3 linked regions of the Caenorhabditis elegans genome follow. The protein of the gene in region 2 purifies or fractionates together with the protein of the main gene of each other region. This does not show direct contact. Each region holds a gene or a part of one and is shown on either strand. Other genes may lie near its edges. The genes, in order: rfgp-2, ufm-1 and eif-2A.

Evidence for each region.
Region 1: the proteins of ufm-1 (region 2) and rfgp-2 fractionate together in Caenorhabditis elegans (co-fractionation; one large-scale study listed by BioGRID). This does not show direct contact.
Region 3: the proteins of ufm-1 (region 2) and eif-2A fractionate together in Caenorhabditis elegans (co-fractionation; one large-scale study listed by BioGRID). This does not show direct contact.

What each region holds. Positions count from the first base shown.
Region 1 is NC_003280.10:5,426,877-5,431,248, forward strand, and holds rfgp-2 (ARF GTPase activating Protein), read right to left. Parts: upstream 2,697-4,372; 5' UTR 2,692-2,696; coding exon 2,614-2,691; intron 2,528-2,613; coding exon 2,476-2,527; intron 2,431-2,475; coding exon 2,291-2,430; intron 2,241-2,290; coding exon 2,067-2,240; intron 2,022-2,066; coding exon 1,587-2,021; intron 1,538-1,586; coding exon 1,227-1,537; intron 1,172-1,226; coding exon 1,006-1,171; intron 950-1,005; coding exon 851-949; intron 800-850; coding exon 698-799; intron 606-697; coding exon 573-605; downstream 1-572. UniProt on the Caenorhabditis elegans protein: GTPase-activating protein for the ADP ribosylation factor family.
Region 2 is NC_003281.10:7,856,953-7,860,012, reverse strand, and holds ufm-1 (Ubiquitin-fold modifier 1), read right to left. Parts: upstream 1,035-3,060; 5' UTR 1,033-1,034; coding exon 944-1,032; intron 874-943; coding exon 678-873; 3' UTR 501-677; downstream 1-500. Other genes in the region: tomm-7 (Mitochondrial import receptor subunit TOM7 homolog), read right to left, coding at 1-3, 263-400; coq-5 (2-methoxy-6-polyprenyl-1,4-benzoquinol methylase, mitochondrial), read left to right, coding at 1,557-1,725, 1,855-2,117, 2,164-2,589; tag-307 (ApaG domain-containing protein), read left to right, coding at 2,771-2,862, 2,907-2,991, 3,038-3,060. UniProt on the Caenorhabditis elegans protein: Ubiquitin-like modifier which can be covalently attached via an isopeptide bond to substrate proteins as a monomer or a lysine-linked polymer.
Region 3 is NC_003280.10:10,415,191-10,419,793, forward strand, and holds eif-2A (Eukaryotic translation initiation factor 2A), read left to right. Parts: upstream 1-1,615; 5' UTR 1,616-1,646; coding exon 1,647-1,671; intron 1,672-1,727; coding exon 1,728-1,800; intron 1,801-1,852; coding exon 1,853-1,930; intron 1,931-1,984; coding exon 1,985-2,117; intron 2,118-2,170; coding exon 2,171-2,351; intron 2,352-2,423; coding exon 2,424-2,704; intron 2,705-2,757; coding exon 2,758-3,600; intron 3,601-3,648; coding exon 3,649-3,747; 3' UTR 3,748-4,039; downstream 4,040-4,603. Other genes in the region: frpr-21 (G-protein coupled receptors family 1 profile domain-containing protein), read right to left, coding at 4,040-4,182, 4,234-4,409. UniProt on the Caenorhabditis elegans protein: Functions in the early steps of protein synthesis of a small number of specific mRNAs. Acts by directing the binding of methionyl-tRNAi to 40S ribosomal subunits.

The sequences.
Region 1 (4,372 bases), on a different chromosome or scaffold from region 2:
GTTCTCGCGACGAAAATAAGAAAATGAGCAGCTGAGAGGGTGACTTGTTTTGGTCAGGGCTCAATGCAAAGCGAATTTTCAAGTTATAGAAATTTTTTTAAATTTCCCTGAGTTAGATGCTAGTCATGACAATTTTCAACAAAAAAAAATTGAAACGCTCTTAAGGAATTTAGAAGAAAAATATAATTGTTAAAACAAAACGAAATTCGAAAAAATGAAAATAAACTACGACACTCCGTTATTCCGGATGTGTGTGTTGTTTACAGTAAATCTACACAGCTTGCAATTACGATTTTCTCAATTTGAAGGTTTTTTTTTGAATGGAAGTTAACTTAAGTTTGTGCCCAACAAAACTGATATATGAAACATTCACAACGACAAAAGAAATTGAAAAACCCAATGACACACAACATTCAATAAAATAAAGTAAAAAAGTTTTGAAAGACCCGAAATTCAGTGAGAATACAAAAACCCATAGGTTGAAAAATAAAAGATAAAGACAAAACTAAAAGAAAACAACATTAAAAACCAATTTTACGGATGGGATAAACTCGCCGTTAAAAGCCAGGAATTTATGTTTTTTCTCCAGTTGCTGGAGGAGCACGCTGAATTGTGGATTATAAACTTATTTTAATTTTTAAACTGTCTTATATTTTTTCAATACCTCCAGAAAACTTTGGAATAAAAATTTACTTACCGACATGTAAGTAGAGAATGAACTCGACAGCGTTGACCATTTCTCAGCGACCTTTGAAGCTCCGGCACGGAAAGAATCTTTCAAATCAGACATATCAGGAACCTGAAAATTAGATTTAGAATATTTTAATTTCGATGACAGCTTCGAGCTTACTTGACTAGATTGACGTTGCTGGCTTCCGTTACCCCACAAATCTTCGGATCCAAATGAAGTCTGTCCTTCACACTTGGTCAATGCACTTCTTGTTTCACACTGAAAATATATAAAATTGTAAATTTAAAAATATTACCAATAATATAAAAACATACATCCATTTCAGGCGTTCCAAAGTACATATCACTTGAGATAGCTTTAGCATTTCCGAATTTCTTCTGAAGATCAACATCCGAAATTGGAGATGCTCCAGCAGTCAGGCGAGTCGTTGGTGCACGGGATGTTGACGAAGAGGAAGAAGATGCGGTATAGCGGGATTTTCTGGAAAAAAGTCGTAAAGTCGTGTTTTAAATTAATTTTATATAATTTCACTTACTGCACAGGTTGCGTCTCAAATGAGTCAAAGAAATCATCTTCCTTTGTTGTTTTCTTGCTACTACTCGAAGTATAGTCTTTTGAGAAGAAATCATCCTCGTTGTTCGTACTTTTCTTTCCGTACTTATCATCAATAACCTCCCAATCGTCATCTTCTTTTGGCTGTGAAGGTTTCTTGAACGTAAGAACATCATCCTGTTTAATAGATCGAATACCACCAGCGACTGAATGAGCGGCACGGGATCTACCGACACCTCCCATTCCGAGACGATCGACTGAAGCGGCTTTTGTAGGATCTTTTGCAACCTTTGCCTGAAAAATATTAACTTTAAAAACCAATGTCATTTGTTTGAAATCCTACCTCCATTTGCTTTCTTTGAGCATCAATATCTTGCATGGCAAATTTGGCACTGAGCTTTTGCAATGCAGCGGCATCATCGGATTTTTTCTTACCATCAAGCTCTGTTTGATAAGCAAGCTTGTTCGCAGCAACTTCGGCGGCCGTCTGTCTCTCTTTTTCAGCAGCTCTTTGCTCAATTTCATCAAAATTAATCCGCACTTTTTGAGCTCCGAGAGCATTTTTCTTGGCGCCGAGAGTGGCTTTCTTGATTGGTTTTTTAAGAATCACGGAAACTGGAGCAGAGGTAGGAACAGCGACGGAAGAGTCGAGATGATCAACGCTTGGACCGTGAGTAGAGTCTTCAGATTTGTGATCAGCAATATATGCATCAGAAGACAAGGAAGTAGCAGATGCAGAAGTGTGACCGAAATCTTGAGCGAAGAAATCTTCTTCCTCCTGAAATAAATAAATAAAGACGAGTATGAAAACAGTCAAACTCACAGCTGGCTTTTCCTCTGCATGAGTTACTGTATCAATAATCAATTGAGTCCCGAATTTTCGCTGGGCTTCCTGGCACAGGGTTGAGAGCTTATCTCTATACATCTGAGCCGCTCGACTTTTGTATTTTTGTTGAGCTTCAGTGGTATTGCAGCCATGCGCTTTGAAGAATTGATTCTGCAAAAAAAATGAATTCAACAGTTGTGTTTCATATCGAATAAACTAACCGCATTTCCATTTCCTCCGAGTTGCATGGCTCTCAACTGAAGCCAAGTCCAATTTGTATCCAAATTGGTGGAACGGACGAACGTGAGGTGAACACCGAGGTTACGATGAACAGCAGAACAATCAATACAGAGAAATACACCTGAAAAATGTTTAATGAGTGATTAGAATTATTTGAAATACGAACCATATGTGACAGTGCACCAGGTGGGGTTCCTCGCACCACAGTCGAAGCAGAGCTGAAAAAATACGTTTTTGTTTTTTATTTATTTTCAAGATAATATATATTTAGATTTTTCAATCAACAGCAAAATGAAAATCTTACTTTGTTCGGTGGGAGAGCTCTCATTTTTCTCATTGCTGTCTGCAAATCAACTTTGGAAGGCCCATTTTCGTCGGACATTTTGCCTGAAAAATGAAATCAATAACTTGGGTACACATGTTTGCAAAGATTGGGGGAAAAGCTGTCAAATGGCTGTACGCGAACATAAAATCAATGAAAAGAAACCGGTTTCTGCCAAATTAGAGAAAAAAATCGGCGTTCAACGCTTAGTGGATCAGGAAGTTGTTGCACTGATAAGAGATGATGGTCAATGATTTCTACATAAGAATTGGTGAAAAAATTAACTGAAAACTATCGATTAAGCCATTTTCAACGTTGGTTTGTAGTCTTTCAGTTGCGCCGGCTTCACATAATTTTAGCGAGTTACACGTCGAAAGTACGCAAACACCGCGCTGCGGACTTTGCACGGAATTTCACGAGCATTTCGAGGAAATGAATTAATTTATTTCAGAAAGAAAGTTTCTCTATTTAAGTGAAACACAGGTGTCTATAACAGCTAGTGATTGTAGATGACCATACATTTTAAAGCATAATTTTGAAACTAAAGTTATAAATGCCTCACTTTCTGATTAGTCCACAATGCTCTGCTTAAAATGTGAAATAACATTATAAATATTATACTTCGACCTTTGGTTGAAACGTGAAACGACCAGACCGACTGTGGACGGAAAAATTACCTCAAAAAATGTATTTTCAAAAAATATGGTAGTTACACCACGTAAACGTGCATCAAAATCAGTGGATAAATCAGTTGGTCACTCTCTCGAAGAAACCGAATTGGAAGATGTTGAAGATGAGGTAAACCATTATTCGAGAAGCAATTGAATAAAAGAACCTATGCCTTTATTGAAGCAAAGTGCAATTTAAGAGTGAGCTCAAATAACATGTTTCTGAGAGTAATTGATTTCTTCCAGCTACATCTTCGTTGGTATTCAGTTGGTCTCATATTTTTCAGCTTCATTCCCATATACTACTCGATAATGTTAGTAGCTTATTTGAGCCTAAAAGCCTAATCAGTTTGATCAAATTTGAGAGTTTGTCAGCCTCAGCAATTCAAGATCGATGGATTTGAGCTTATAAATCCGGTATTCAATAAACACCATTCGACGAGATCATGCACAAGTGCCACTAAATCACTACAGAATGTGAGAGATTTTCCGAATGGAATTGCAAATAAATTTTAAAAATTTCAGGGTTTAATTGCACTTTTCATATTTTACGCATTGAAAATCTACAAAAAAGTCTATCTTATCGTGCTTTATATAATTCTTATCATCCATTTTGGCTTTGAAATAAGGAATGCGAAATCGGAAACTTCTAGGAAATATATAGGTGAGCATCTAGCTTCATTATGCCTAGGCAGGCTTACTTTATTGTTGCCAAAAGATATGTGGGAGGTACCGGTTGTTGAAATAATGCTACGTTTTCAGCAATTTCTACCCGTGAAATGTTCATGTATTATGTTGAATTGCTCCTACTCTATTTTCAAAATCTGCTGCTCCTTCCTTACATCTGTGGTGGTTATTTCTTAATCAGGTATACTTAGATTCACACAAAACTTTCGAAATAAGACTACATTTCCAGACATGTGCATCGAATCCCATCAAAAGAAGAAGTCGATCGTCAAACTCTGAAATTCAAGGAAGAAGCTCGACGCATTAAACGACTAATGATAGAAGAAGATTGGCATGTGAAGGAAGCGAATGAAGATGTAAAGAACAAAATCGAACAGGAAGGATTG
Region 2 (3,060 bases):
GATCTGAAATATGAATTCTTAAATCTTTGAATTGAAAGCATAGGTGTTTTTGGTAAAACTTAAACTTTTGACAAATAAATTAAAAAATAATTGGCAGCGTCTCGCATGCAATTGTTCTATTTACACAACGAGAAACTTGTAAAGAAAATGCGGTATCTATATAAATGTTTGAATCTTGTGTATTATGGGACGCATTTTTTATTTATTACGCTCTCTCGGAGACGTGATTTTAAAACTAAATGTTTCTTTTTCTAGTTTTTACCTGTCCATTTGGCATTGGCTCAGCGCCTTTCTTAAATCCAAGGTAGACCACAAACGGCACGAATCCCCATTGGATTGCAAATGTGGAAATATCGACTGTCTTACCGATGAAAGACTTGGTAGCTGGGGAGAGCTTCATCTTAAATAAAATAATATAAGACTAAAAGTAAAGTAGTTTTAAAAAAGTAAGATAAAATGCGGAAGAGCAACCAGTATTGATAAATTGATTGAACAAGTTTGAGAAAAAAGCTTCATAGCGTACTTTGGAAAGGGGAATTTCAATAAATTAATATTTAGAAGAATTTAGATATTCAAATCTGACTTAGCGAGTTTAGGATAGAAATGCACAGAGACATCACATTTTGTAAAAATAATTATGTCATAATACAGGAATGTAGACAACAATTGGCTTATGCTCAATGGCCGACGCGATCACGTGGAATCAGACGAAGTTCACTTCCGTGCTTCAAAAAAATGTTTCCGGCAGGTTGAGCTGGATTGACGCCAACTCCGTCGTTCGTAATGATTGCTGATGTAGCCGCAGGGACCTTGAATTCTTCAGCGGCAAACTTGAGAACGGCGGTGAATGGGGTACTTTCCGGCACGGAGAGGCTGAAAAATTAATGCATGACGCAAAACTCCAAATCAAAAGTAAACCGAAAATTTAAATATAAAAACTTACACCTTGAATGGGAGCTTCGGATCACTTGTTAGAGTGATTTTGAAGGTCACCTTGGAACCGGCAGTTGTTGCTGCTGTTCCACCCGACATTCCTGAAAATCTCTCGCATAAAATCAATAATAATCGTCCAGTTTGTTTGAAAAATTGTTTTTTAAAAAGTCGAACAAATTGATAAAGAAAAGGACATAACAGAAATGCACAAAATAACCTGAAAAACTGAAAAACAATAGGAGAGAAAAACTGGAAAAATGCCAAGTGTCTCTTACAAAACTCGGCCACTTGACGGAACCTAGGCCAGTGATGGCGTGATCAAGAACTATAATATAATTCAATTATTTTTCATATGTTAAAGTTCGAGTGAAATTTAAATGAAGATTGTAGTTCGAACGCTAGTATTTAGTGTACAAATACCACAAAAACGAGAAATACGTCTCTTCAAAATTCATTATGGAGTGATGGCCTAGGAATCTCCACGGGAAAATGCGGTAGAATATTTCTTGCAAGAACTTTCAGAGTATCGTGATTTTTATCACTTAATTTATCATTCAACTTCGCAATTAAGTTCTCAAAATTTTCTCATCTTTTGTCCGAATTAAAACTCATTTATTTTCAGAATGAAAGGAGCAACAAACTTATTTAAAAGCATGAGAAAACCTACGAACGTTGGAAATTTCCGGCAGTTTTCGGTGAATCAAGTCAATTCAGATAATAAACGGTCAGAGCCCGGAAAGAAAACACATTTTGGATTCACTGACGTTGATGAGGCAGAGAAGGAGCAGAAAGGTTAGCTGTTCGATTCAGAAACGTAAAAAAGCTGATAGCCACAAATAATAATCACAAAGTTCTCTACATAAAATAAGCCCTTTTCCAACACATCTATATAATTTACTGATACTATATGTCTTTTTTTAGTTCACCACGTCTTCGCAAACGTCGCGAAAAAGTACGATTTGATGAATGATGCAATGAGCATGGGAGTTCACCGATTATGGAAAGACTATTATGTTGGTGGCCTGCAAGTACCGTATAATGCGAAATGTCTGGATATGGCAGGAGGAACCGGGGATATCGCTTTCAGAATTCTCAGACATTCGCCTACCGCAAAAGTGACAGTTTCCGATATTAATCAACCAATGCTCGATGTTGGAAAAAAACGAGCGGAGAAGGAGAGAGATGTAATTGTTTTTGAAAAAATTCCATATCCTTAATGTATTACTTCAGATCCAACCATCTCGCGCGGAATGGGTATGCGCTAACGCCGAGCAAATGCCATTTGAGTCGAACACTTACGATCTGTTCACAATGTCCTTCGGAATCAGAAATTGTACACACCCTGAAAAGGTTGTTCGTGAAGCTTTTCGTGTACTCAAACCTGGAGGTCAACTTGCTATTTTGGAGTTCTCAGAAGTGAATTCTGCACTGAAACCAATTTACGATGCATACTCCTTCAATGTGATCCCGGTTCTTGGAGAAATTCTTGCCAGTGATCGTGCCAGTTATCAATATTTGGTTGAGAGTATTCGTAAATTCCCGAATCAAGACGAGTTTGCAAGAATAATTAGAGAAGAAGGCTTTAGTAATGTTCGATACGAGAATTTGACATTTGGAGTGTGCTCGATTCATAAGGGGATGAAACCAAGAAAATAATTTATTCCTGTTTGTTTGTTCTTTTTAAAATTTCATTTAATTCCATTTTTCTAGGTGATATTCAGTATTTTTCGTGTAGAATTTTTGCATAAATTTAATTAAAGTTGTTATATTTGTATTTCCTGACATCTATGATTCCGTGGTTTATTCCCGTTGTTACTCAAAAAATCTGAAAAAATTCATGTTTATTCCAACAATTTCAGATATGAAACTTCGAAGTGCTATTCAGCACAGTGTAAGAAACTTTTCCGCTGGGAAAGTCTTACTGTCAAGGTAATTTATAGATGATTTCAGACTCGATAATCATCATTTTTAAGATTCAGAAGCGCCACAACGCCAATATTGAAAGAAATTGGACTTCTCTTGCCATCAACTAATAAACCAACATTTGAAGCTGGACAAGTTGGTTGACTCAATCCAGTTATTTTGCAAAAATATTAAATTGCAGATTTTCATTCACAAAACATTTGC
Region 3 (4,603 bases), on a different chromosome or scaffold from region 2:
TGATGAGACACTCAGATGAGAGACTGTACTCTTACGATAATCCACGTGTTGTTATCATAGATTAAACACCTGGGATGAGCAAGTAACGAATTTTTTGAACAGTTTTTCGAGGTTTTGAGACTTGAAAAATACGGAAGTTTCGGAAGAAGTAGGTAAGCCGGTACTGACTTAGTATAAGATTAGAAAAGGATCATGGTCTTATACTTTTAGAAAGACTTGGTAAAGAGTAAACTGAAAATGAGTAGGTGAGCAGTAAGAATTCAATTCTGCCGTTGGCGAGGGAACGCTTACAAAGAAGCACATATATTTTCAGAAAAAGCAGAATTACCGTAAATCGGATGCTTCTCAATATGGCACATCTACTATTTCGTTGCAAATATAACAATCTATCGTGTCTCGAAATACCACGAAAATCCAAATTTTAATTAATTTTCCGTAGTTTTTCTTGCGATTTGTAACAATTAATTTGTTTGAAATTAGTTTTTTATAAATTTCTATGAAAATTTTTTAACGAGAAACTATGAAAAATCGATGAAAAATCCGCAGCAACAAAAATTTTAAATTACAGTACTCTTTAAAGGCGCAGATCCGTTTGTATTTTACCAAGAGAGCGCGTGGCAAGACCGGGGACCGTATTTTCTAACGCTCGATAATGTTATATTCGAGTTTTTTTGAATTAAAAGGGGTCTACTTTCCGATTATGACCTCAAAAGAGTACTATAATTACAAACTTTCGTTACTCTAGAATTCTCCTCGATTTTTTATAGTTTTTCGTTGTAAATACATTTAATTATTTACAAAAAAACTTTTTTATAATTCAAAAACACATAAATGTTAAAAAATCGATGAAAATTCCACAGCAAAATTTGTTTTTGAAATTACAGTACTCTTTAAAGACGCACACCCTTTTGCATTAAAAAAATTGTCGCTTCGAGACCGGGTACCGTGTTTTTTTTGGCGAAAAAAGCCAAATTCAGTGCCTGGGTAATATTGTTTTTTTCATCCTTGAAAATAACTTCTCGAAATAAATTTTCAAGAGACCAATTTCAATTCCGCCTACGCGTTGTCTCTATTCAATTTCTTATTTTCATTCAGCGTAGCAATGAAATTCGAAATATTTGGAGAAAAGACAGTGGCTTCCATAAATACTCAGATTTTTGTCGATCGAAATACGACGAAATTCCGGAAATATTTATATATTGTGTAGCTTTAGTTTAAATTTAAATTTAACTCTGCAATTTAATATTATGCAATTAATCGATTAAACAAAGTCTTTGCAAGTTTGTAAACTATTTCTGCCTACTGTACTTTGTGTGCAAACACCGTGACGCAAACGATGCACTAAAACTGCATCGAATTAAAAAATCGAATTATTTTTTATTTTTCGAGGAATATTTCTTTTTTTTTTAACTGTTTCTCCCAATATTCAATTTTATTTAATCTTTTCCCGCTAGAATAATTTATTCTGGATACGGTGCGCGAAATTCTGCATTTCCAAATGTATGCCGGCGCCAAATACGACGCCATCTCGTGATTCGAATTTTTTCGTCATTTCCTCGAGCTTTTCTAATTTTCTCCTACTTCCTGAGAAATTTAAGACATTTTCTTTTTTCAGACTTTCTCAAACATTGATTCAGATCAATAAAATGGGTGATAACCTGGTGTACGCCGGTGAGTTTACTTTAGACAGCTTTGAATAGGCCGTAAAATTGCGAAATTTGTTTCAGTTCGATCAAGTGAAGGCTTCTACCTGAAGCGCGGGCTGGGCAAAGACGCGGTGACAGTTTTTGAGCAGAATAAGTACGTAATTCAGAACAATTATCAGGAATCAATAATTAAATGTATTTTTTAGAACCTCGAGAGACGTCGCTTGCAATGTGTTCGCTTACAGCAACAACGGACAGCTGTTCGCCTATTGCGATAATCAAGTGTAAGAAGAAGTTTCAGGAGAGGAATATATAGTTAAATAATGTTTTTTTTTTAGAACACGGGTATTCGAGATCGCAACAAACAAGGAGATTCTTTGTGTGGAGCTGAAAAGAACTCGGAAGATCTTGTTCTCACCAAAAGACAATTTCCTGCTCACATTCGAGCCATGGGCAGTTTACGGACCAAAGGTTTGAATAATTTTTTATTTAATTCAGTTTGAAAACCTTTTTTTCAACTTTAGACTGCAGAGAACCAAAAGCCAGAACCAAATGTGCGAGTCTACAGTCTTGCGGATGGAAAGCACGTATCAACGTTCTCAGCTCCAAAAGAAGCATCGTGGGAGCCTCAGTTTTCGGATGATGAGTCGTTGGCTGCAAGAATGGTTGGCAGTGAAGTCTTCTTTTATACAAACATGTCTTTCGGTATGAATTTCATGAATTTTCTGAAAATTGATATTATTATTACGACCGTTATCATAAAACTTATCTTTTCAGACCGTTACGACCACAAGCTTGTCGAGAAGGGTGCGACCAACTTCGCATTGAGTCCAGGTCCTGCTCCGAATCACGTGGCTGTCTATGTCCCTGCCGTTGGATCCACTCCAGCTCGCGTGCGAGTTCATCGAGTCTCCGAATCGTTCCCAGTCGTCGGCAATCGTACGTTCTTCAAATCTGACAAAGCCGTAATGACATGGAATCAGCGTGGTCAATCACTTCTCATTCTTGCTTCTGTTGAAGTGGATAAGACAAATCAATCTTATTATGGAGAGCAAAGTGTTCGTTTTAAAATTTTCTCAAATCTCCCCAATAATTATTTAATTAATTTCAGCTATACCTTATCAACATTCAATCAGGAGAGTCTGTAGTTGTTCCTTTGGAGAAGAAAGGTCCAATTTACGCTGCAAAGTGGAATCCCAACGGCCGAGAATTCGCTGTTTGCTATGGTTATATGCCAGCCAAAGTGACATTCTATAATCCGAGAGGAGTTCCAATTTTCGACACGATTGAAGGTCCACGAAACGATGTTTTCTATAATGCATTTGGAAATATTGTTCTGATTTGTGGATTTGGAAATATCGCGAAGGGAAAAATGGAGTTTTGGGATGTGGAGACGAAAAAGGAGATTATTTCGATCGAGGTGCCAAATACAACTCTTTTCGATTGGGCTCCAGATGGTCAACATTTTGTTACATGCACCACTGCTCCAAGGCTTCGTATAGATAACAGTTACCGCTTCTGGCATTACACGGGTCGAATGCTTGCTGAAACTCACTTCGAGTCTCCAAAAGAGCTGTGGGAAGTTCGCTGGCGTCCAATGACTGGATACAACAAGTTTGCCATCAAAGAGCTAACCAAGACGGACAAAATGGCCGCTGGCTTGCCAATTCGAAAGAAGGATGCATCTCATCCACTGAATAATGTTCCAGCAGGAGCAGTTCGTCAGGCTGGTGCCTACATTCCACCTCATCTCAGGAAACCGCTAGGAGGTGGAGGATCAGCTGGACCACCATCAGCTGCAGCACCTACGCCAGGAAACCAGAATCAACGGCCTGCACAGCCACGTGCTAATGGAAACGGAAATGCTCCACAACCATTCCGACCACAGCAATCGGAACAAGAAAGGAAAGCATTCCAACTCAAAAAGAAGGTTGAGGAGATTAAAGTTCTCAAGGTGAGTTGTGCGAAGTTTCAAAAATATTTTCAAACAAATAATTTCCAGCAACGAGTGGCGAATGGCGATCAACTTCAACCAAACCAAATGGAGAAGATCCAACGTGAAAACGAATATCTCTCAGAGCTCTCCAAACTGACCATTTAAAATTGTGTTCTTTTTTTCTGTGTTTTTCCCTCGATTATCATTTTTTTGTTTCTCTTTTCTCCCGATTGACTCACCTGTTTCCTATGAGTTTTAGACTTTATACATTCGAGTGAAACCTGAAATTTTTCCCCAGTTGTTTTGAATATCTATTTATCAATTGTCTTCCATATTCTTTTAGCCTATCTTTTTCTCTCCCCAATCTCTTATTATGATTGTTTATTTCTTTAATTATTATTGTCATAATATGAACTCCCGTAATAAGAGTAACAAAAAAGTGATGAAATGAAGGAAGTTACGAGCTGTTCGTCTCGATGCTCTTCTCTCGTTTGATGTAGTCGGTGATCTCCTGTCGCAACTTTGGATTACACTTGGCGTAGATGAAAATACGAATTGCCGAGGATGCCATATAGCAGATGGAGACAGTATCAGACAAAACTGAAATGGAAAAGTATTTTATTATTATAATAGAAGTTTTTAAAAACTAACCGATATAAAATGTGCTCGACTGCATTCGATCCGTGGATTCGTAAAGATAAGATGGATCGAACCTCTCAAGGATCGTCAGAAAAAGATGAACGCCATTACAAACCAAATATGAAGTGACAATAGCCAACATCGTGTAAATTGCATTTCGAAGCTGTGATCGCTTACTTCGGGATGATCTGGAACAAAAATAATTAATTTTGGAAAAGAAATGAGCTCCAGTGAGCTCAAATGTGCTTCTAGAAGAAGTTGACATGTTTTAACATCGAATATGTAGAAGTTCAAAGCGCCAGCTCTTGGTTTCACATAAATATTATTATAGGACCGCAGAAAAAAACTGATCGACATATTAGCGCGCTCCACGGTCAATGGA